Linked DNA regions of Oryctolagus cuniculus. The protein of the gene in region 1 purifies or fractionates together with the protein of each later gene. This does not show direct contact. Links are inferred from orthologs where the notes say so. Each region holds a gene or a part of one and is shown on either strand. Other genes may lie near its edges.

Region 1 (4,464 bases):
CTTTTATCTTCGGAGCCCGTACAGATGGGAGGAATGTATTTGCTGACAAAATGCGGAAGGCATTGGGGTATGGAGACCAAGGACTGATCAGTTGGATTAAAGAGGCCAGGTTTCGCCCCGGGCTGGGTCTCATCCCTACCCCCATGTCTCCAGTTCTGCCCTCGCTTCCAGACCGGGCATTAGTGTCCCTCTCTTCATTCTCCCCGTGGCCGCCATTCCATCTCTGCGAAGCCCAGCCTCTCCCCCAATCCACAGCTCCGCTAATGAGGCCTCCTTGTCCCTCTCCCTCTGAACCCCGAGGCAGGAGGCCTGGCCTCGCCTTGCCTGCCTGCGGGACAGTCCCCACTCCCTGCCGCCAAGGAACCCCTGGGTTCCTCCCGCCCGGCTTCGCCCCCCTCTTTCCCGGCGTCTCCGCCCCCTGCCCCGCCCCCGGGCTGGCTCTCGGAGGAGGGGGAGCTGCTCTCGCCGCCGCCGCCGCCTCAGCTTCCCACAGCCGCTGCCGCCGCTGCCGCCGCTGCGCCTGGTCCAGCCTCCAGGCCCAGCGCTGTGACTTCGCCGGACCGGGACGCTTTGAGGAGACACCCTCACTCCTTCCCAGGGGTCCCGGACGCCTAGCCGGGCGTGGGGGGAAGCTCTGCTTGCGGGGGACAGGGAGGGAGGAGCCTGAAGCCGGAGCCCGCACCGCCCGCCGCCCGGATCAACGGGACAGGACAGGTTGAGGGGCGTCGGGGAAAGGAAGAGGGGGTGCTGTAGGCAGTCCCTGGGAGGACGAGCAAGCGCGGTCGCAGGAAGCTCTAATGAGCTCTGACTTGTAGGGGGCCTCTTCACATTTGGGGACTGGTGGCAACGTGGGTGCACTTCTCTCTGGGGGGCTGACTGGATGGGAGGGCGTGGGATCTAGACAGCGCAAGCTGTCATAAGGGGCAGTCCAGGAAAAAAGAAAGTGCTCATTCGGAGGTGACGGGGGCCCTCCAAACTACCACACCTGGGGTATCCATTAGGAAGGGCGGATTTGGAGGTGACTTGGAGAGGAGTGGAGGGTGACAAGGTGAGGAGAGGGTCTGTGGGCAGCTGGAGCCCTGTGCTATTAGAAATGGGAGTGATGGAGAAGAAAGGCAGTGTCCACCCAGGGGATCTGGGACCTGCTCCTCGCTGAATCCGGACAGCCTGTGTTCTCCCAGATATATTTGGGGGGGGGGGGATTTCAGTGGGAAAAAAAAAGTAGGAAATCATCTCCATTGAGAAGGTAGCAAAGGAGGGAGCACCAGCGTTGGGTTCCTCTCTGACATTGAGAGTTGTCCTGTGGGGCTGGGACGAGTTGATGGCCCCGAAGCTGGGACCCACACCTTTCAGATTATCAGAGTAGATCTGGCAGGAGTGTGGGCTCCAAAGCAGGGGGGAGAGGGAAAACTGGAGCCACCTCTTGGGAGATCTTGGCTTTGGAACCCAGGGCGTGGAGACACACACCAGAGAGGAGTGAAGAGGAGGATTTTCAGTTAGGGGCAACATTCCAGGTGAGGGAAACCAAGGAGTGCATAGGCGGCGGGATCAGGTGGAGCCAGGATAGGGCCCAAGGGTGGGTGCTGGCGGCCACAGCGAGGACTGGGGCTTGCCTCAGGTCCTGTGGGTGGGGCGGTGAGCTGGGGCCAGGGAGTGGAGAGCATGCCCTGGTGAGCGCGCTGGTTTGGGGGTGTCTCCTCCTGGGGCGCCATGGCGGCGCTGGCCAGTAGCCTGATCAGGCAGAAGCGGGAGGTCCGTGAGCCCGGGGGCAGCCGGCCGGTGTCGGCGCAGCGGCGTGTGTGTCCCCGCGGCACCAAGTCCCTCTGCCAGAAGCAGCTCCTCATCCTGCTGTCCAAGGTGCGACTGTGCGGAGGGCGGCCCACGCGGCCGGACCGCGGCCCGGGTGAGTGCGGCTGGGGCGGGGGTCTCCGAGCCTGGGAGGTTGAGGCCAGGGACTCCTTAGAATGGGGCCCGGCGAGGGGGCGGGGAGTCCCAGAGTGGGTCAGGACCACAGAGTCCCTGCTAGACCGTGCCTCAGTTTCCCTTCTCTTTTGTCCATCACCCCGAGTCTGTGCTTTCGAGGGCAAGGGGCTAAGTCTGGCGCCCCGATGCCTTGCAGCTCCGGCCCACCCCACCCCCCAGCACCGGAGTCCCCACCCCCACCGTCCTCCGCCTACGTGCCGGTTCTCGCGATTCTTTCCGTCCAGAGCGGAGGGGCCGGGGCGCGGTGGGGGGGGGGGGTTCCGGACGCCTGGGTCACCCCGAGGGTTTCTGCGGTTCCGGCCGCCCCGCCCCCGCCCCGGTTCTCCCGCTTCAGCACGCCCTGGCTCGGTTCCTCCTGGTCTAGCTCGCCTGGCTCGAAGCCAATCTCCCCGGCTCTCCCCCGGTGTCCTTGCGGCCACCACGCCAGCAAGCCCCTCTGTGGGCCCTCCTCCCGCGAACTGAGCTTCAGGAGGGGAACCGGGCATCCCTCCGCATTCCCCCCGCGCGACTCCAAAACCGGGTCCCACTGGCTCGGGGGACCTTGCCAGGAGGAACTGAGGCACAGTTCTCCACCGGAGACTGGCGCGGAGACTTTGTGGGGGGGGTCGTACCACCTACAAGGGGAACAGGGAAGTCGGCAGAGAGCAAGCAAGGGAGGAGGAGAGTTGTGAGGGTTAGTGTGTGGTCCCCGTCCGGGTGTGACAGCCAGGGAGTCCTTCTAGTCCCGCTACAGCCGGCTTCCAGCTCCCCTGGGAGTAGCCCCCTCACTCCCTCCTCACCCCGCCACCTGCCGTCCACAGTGGTACGGTCCGCAGCCCACCCTGGGAGAGGGACACGGTCCACACGTGACTCATCCTGCCACTCCATCTCCGCGGCCCCCTTCCCCCATTTCTTTGATATGGCATGGAATGTTCCCCACCCCATGCGGGTTACTTGAATGTAGGGGAGAGGCTGAGCCTCAGGGAGAGCTGGGCTCCTGTGGGTGCCAGCAGATTGACAGACTGACAGACAGACAGATTGGTCAGTGTCAGACAGGCGGGAGCCTGGCCAAGGGGAGGCCCGCGCCAATCCAGCAGCAGCCGCAGCAGCAGGTGCTGAGTCAGCGTCAGGCCTGGCCCCACCCCCACCCCTAAGGGGGAGCCCCTACCCTGTGGTCACCGGCCCCCTTCCCCCCACATTGGCAAACACTGCCCCTCCAGTAGCTGCCTGCCTCCCTCTGTCCCCTGCCTTTGGATGCTTCTCTTCCCCTCCTCCTCCCTCTCCCCTCCCCCTCTGGTTGAGCTGTACAGTAGGAATTAAGCCATTTAAATAAATTTCAATAAATTAAACGGAAAGCGCGAGGTTAGAGGAAACAGAGGGGCCCACACCCCGGCTTCCCCAGCAGTCAAGGAGAGGTGGGCTAGAGTTGGCTGGCAGGATAAGAAAGCTGGGGCCGCGGGACCCCCTTCCTCTGCTCCCTTGCGTTTCCTTCTCCTGACCCTGCCAAGTGTAGCAGTGTTTCTGGGAACAGAGATGTCGTTTCCAAAGATGAATGTCTCTCTCTCTCTCCTCTCTCTCTCTCTCCAGAGCCTCAGCTCAAAGGCATCGTCACCAAGCTGTTCTGCCGCCAGGGTTTCTACCTCCAGGCGAATCCCGACGGAAGCATCCAGGGTGCCCCAGAGGACACCAGCTCCTTCAGTAAGGGGGGAGCCAGCTGGGGGCTGGGGGGGGGAGCATGCGGGCAGGAGGTGGCAGTTGTGGCCCCTCTTCAGCTTCTGTGGCTTGCAGGCTCTCTGCCATGGATGGGGGGAGGGGGTGTGTGCTGGGGCAGCTCAGGTGCAGTGAGAGGCCTGGGTATTCATGTCTCCTCTCTCCACTCCCAGCCCACTTCAACCTGATCCCCGTGGGGCTCCGCGTGGTCACCATCCAGAGTGCCAAGCTGGGTCACTACATGGCCATGAACGCCGAGGGGCTGCTCTACAGCTCGGTGAGACACTGAGGCTGAGGGGCCTGGGGTACCAGGCACTCCCCCACCTGCCATCGTACTCCACTACAGACATGGTCTGGTGGGGTTTTTGCAGCGCAAGTCCCTCGCCCTCCAACTTTGGCTGCTGTCACCACTGTCCATCCCAGAGCACCTCCTGTAGGGGCTGTCCGAACCCCTGCTGTTCACACAGCCCCCCCAAATACTCCCCGGCTCGTGAGTGTCTCATGTGTTCCGTCCTTTAGGGCCCCCACTTCTCATCATTCCTCCTCCAGACTTTGTTATTACTCACTTCCCCAGAGGCTTTCAGGACCGGGGATGGGGAGGAGATTGGGGATGGCATTGTGGTACAGCAGGTTAGGACACCCGCATCCCCAGCAGGTGCCACTTTGAGTCCCGACAGCTCTACCTCCAATTCAGCTCCTCGCTGGTGTACCTGGGAAGACAGCAGAGAATGACCCAGGTACTTGGGCCCCTGCTACCTATGTGGGAGAGCTGCATGGAGTTCCAGGCTCCTG
Region 2 (3,762 bases), on another chromosome or scaffold:
AATTTTAAAAACCATTCTGAGGTAAGCCGTTGGAGGAAAAGAGGGAGCAATTTTTTTTTTTTTTTAATTTAAAGGTAAAGGACAGGAGACGATGTATCATACACACACAGCCTGAGCTGTCCCCTGGAAGGGCAGACAGTGGGGTAGGAGACAGTGTGCCCAACTAACAGAGGATGGACAATGAAACTTACATGTGAAACTTTTATCTTTCATTTTGGCCCCAGGCTGCACTCGGTTGCAATGGGAAGTTCACTGAACTTCATGAGGCAACTCAGGGTAAGAACATCCTCTCTGAACCACTGTGCTAGTCCTCCTACACGGATGAACGGATTACTCTCTGATCAAGAAACTGAGGCACGTGGAGATTAGGCCTTGTGCTGAGGTCAAACAATCATTAAACACCACAACAGGAATTAGAATTCTGACTCTGAATCCAGGGCTTTTTGTCATGCTCACGCCCCCAAATCACAGAGTTGTCTGGAGAGCAGTGCAGGTTTGCCCTGGTTTGCACTCACCCATTTTCTTGGGAAGCAAGTACACGTCCTGCTTGTACCGGCCCTCAGGTGCATTATAGAGTTCTATCAGTGCCAGAGCCTATGGTGGGAAAGTGCCAGAAAACACAGACATGCTTCTTAGACAGGGACGTGAATAAATAAAATCAGGCTTACTAGGGCCTTAGGGTAAGTGCTCCGGTGATCTACATAGTGAACTGCACCTACAACTCCTACTAATAAAGGCCAGTCGGCACATATCACAAGAGGATTTGCTGGTGTTTTGTTTAATTCTTGACAAAAGAACAAAATAAACACAACTAAGCTGGAACACTATATTCTCAACTAAAACACCCAACTCAAGCAGACACAAACACTGACTAGTGACTGTCCTACATTTGGGAAGTCTCAGTCTCAACAAAGAGTAATATGAAAAAGGAACAGTCTGGCAGAATGTAGCCTGGCACACTCGCCTCCCAGCTCTGCCCTCTGTCCAGCCCCACAAATCCCAGTGCAGGGTAGCAGGTGTCTTACCACATACCTGTGTTGTAGCTGTGATGGACAGAACAAAGGTGGGAACTGTGGAGCAGCTCAAATTGAGCAGACGACCCTGGAAGAGCAAGAGCAGGATGAGCCAGGATGAGCCGTTATCTCTCAGTCTCAGATTCCAACAGCATGCGAGTCAAGCAAGTTAAAGAAAGGACTTTAGAGTCTTCTAGACTCAACTGGAAGAAGAATTACAGTTCCACATCAGGACTCTAGGCTTCAGACTAGTTCCAACCATCCATCAGAGCCTGAAAGCTCAGCCAGATGTGGACAGGAAAAAGCATGCATTTCTAAACACTGTGTGTGGGTACACCCATGTGTATGTGTGTATTTCAAGATTTTTCATTTACTTATTTAAGAGGCTGAGATATCTAGAGAGCAAGCGAGCACATGGCCCCACCTGCTTGTTTACTCTCCAAATGCCTGCAATGGCCAGGGCTGGGCCAGAACAAAGCTCAGAGCCAGGAATTCAATCCGAGTTATCCATGTGGACGGCAGGGACACAATTACTTGAGCCACCACTTGCTGCATCCTAGGGTCCACATTAGCAGGGAGTTGGGAGTCAGGAACCAGAGCCAGGCCTCTGATAAGGGATGAAGGCATCTTAACATCTCAACTGCCAGGGCCAAAGTTCTGGCCCAAAAGTGAATTTCTTTTCAGTGACTCTATTTTGGGGAGCAGCCCATTTGACAAATATACCTCTATCCAAATACAGACTTTCAGGGAGAAGGCAGGCCCAGTACTTCTGCCTGTCTCCTCTCCCCACCACAGCTCCAACGATACTGTGCTACTCTGCAGAGCCCGCCTGCGCATGTACCTCTGCCAGGAGGACGACACGTTTGCCATCTGGCCAGATGACATGGTCCACCTGGGATCGCACTCGCTCCCACGTCAGCTCCGGAGTGCGGAGGCTGGTCTGCAAGGAAGAAGGCACAGGTGACCACGGCTGTGAGGGAAGCAGAGGGGAGGGGCCGCCACCGAGCACGAAGGCCTCACCACGTCGATCTCCGTGTTGGAGTGGCCCATATTGCACACGATGCAGCTGTTTTTCATGCGGTCCAAGTGCTCCCGCGTTACCACATTCTTGTTTCCTAGGAGTAAAGATGGGTTGCTGAGCAGAGAGAGGCTGGACAACAGAGATCCCGACTGGCTTCAGCCGGAACATGAGAAAGGTTTCTTGGCATTCAAGAATGCGTATACACTGCGGGAGAAGTGCCTAAAGGCTTCTCAGGCTCAAGGAGCTGGTTTCAATTTTTTTTTTTTTTTTTTTTTTAACTATTTGGGAGGGATGGAGGGAAGGAGGGAAAGAGGATGTTGGAGTCGGGGAGGGGGGAGAGACAGAGAGGGAGTGACTGCTTTCCCATGTGCTGGTTCATTCCCTAAACGCCTCCAATGGCCAGGGCTGGTTGGGGCCAGGAGGCAGGAGCTGGGAATTCAACCCAGATCTGCCCCGTGGCTATCAGGAAGTCCATTACTTTGAGCACCACAGTCTTCTCGCAGGGTCTGAATGAGCAGGAAGCTGGAATAAGGAGCTGAAGCTGGGTATGGAACCCAAGGACTCTGGAATGGGATGCACAGGCATCTTAAGTGCTGGGTCCAACACCCATCCCAATTACCTGTTTTAACATCAGTCAGTATAAAAAGTCAGCACAGGGAAAAGACCCTACTCTGTCACTCATTAGTTTTGAGAGCTCACTCAGGCGAGACATTACACTGAGCACAGGTCTCAACTACGCTCAGTGGAAAGTCAGACCCCTTCTAAGACTTAGTTCCCGAGCGAACACTCTCCCATGTACACCAGCTAACCTACCTGTACAAGTTATTACGACGTCAACTTGCCGGATGACTTCATTTAGCTTTACCACCCTGAACCCATCCATGCTGGAAGAAAAGGAAGGAACACTATGAGCAAAGCAAGGCGGCAGTGGGAAGACACTGATCCCAAAACAGATGACAAAACTGCTTCTGAAGTCAGATGCAGAGCTGCCTCACCAGGAGGACAGGCAGTCAGCAGCGCTGAGCTACACACACCCCCCTCTGGAAGGGAAAAAGCCAAGCGGCTCTAGAAGAGCCCCAGGATTAAGGGAGAGGGACAGAGCAATCCTGGCTTCTCCTCCTGTGGGGAGATCTCTGCAGAAAATGATTCATACACTCAATCACAAACTCTTAGAAACAGAAAGTACCTGGAGTAAATCTAATCCTAGGAGCACTCTGTTCTTACCAGGCCTGCAGAGCGCAGATGGGGTCGATTTCTGTGATGTAGACGATCGCTCCGAGGGCCTTGAGAGCAGCACAGCAGCCCTTTCCCACCTGCAGGACAGAGCAAGGACAGGAGGTCAGGTCCATTAAGGCACGGGCGTGGGGAGGACAAGCTCTCGGGGGGACAGGAATTAACCTTCCTGAAACCACCAGTGATCCGGTGGGCACTCGCGGGCAGAGCAGGAAGAGATCCCCGTTATGCTGTGAGCCTCAGGGAGGGAGGTCATTTAGCAGCCACGTGGTTGCAAGGCTTCAGACAGAAGTGTTTCCATTAGGGAAACAAGATCAAGCAAAAGTGACTGTCACCTCTAGTTTCTTATTCCTGAAAAGCTCCCTAACCCTCCCTCGAGATGCATTTACTCAACGACAGCCTAGCAGCTCAGGATTCATGGGTCAACACTGAAGTCACAAAGTCTTCTGCAACCTGGTCTGGAGATACTCTGCTTTCCACCACTTCAGATCCCAC

Evidence for each region. Proteins that work in one complex are often made in the same cells at the same time.
Region 2: the proteins of FGF11 (region 1) and AHCYL1 purify together in Homo sapiens (affinity purification with mass spectrometry; 3 studies listed by BioGRID and IntAct, with this or other methods). This does not show direct contact. The link is inferred for Oryctolagus cuniculus from reciprocal best matches to the Homo sapiens genes FGF11 and AHCYL1.

Annotation. Positions count from the first base shown.
Region 1 is NC_091448.1:52,014,910-52,019,373, forward strand, and holds the start of FGF11 (fibroblast growth factor 11), read left to right. Parts: upstream 1-1,560; 5' UTR 1,561-1,710; coding exon 1,711-1,903; intron 1,904-3,549; coding exon 3,550-3,660; intron 3,661-3,845; coding exon 3,846-3,949; intron 3,950-4,464.
Region 2 is NC_091438.1:60,304,009-60,307,770, forward strand, and holds part of AHCYL1 (S-adenosylhomocysteine hydrolase-like protein 1), read right to left. Parts: intron 3,348-3,762; coding exon 3,259-3,347; intron 2,919-3,258; coding exon 2,848-2,918; intron 2,129-2,847; coding exon 2,034-2,128; intron 1,954-2,033; coding exon 1,855-1,953; intron 1,102-1,854; coding exon 1,033-1,101; intron 595-1,032; coding exon 516-594; intron 1-515. UniProt on the Homo sapiens protein: Multifaceted cellular regulator which coordinates several essential cellular functions including regulation of epithelial HCO3(-) and fluid secretion, mRNA processing and DNA replication.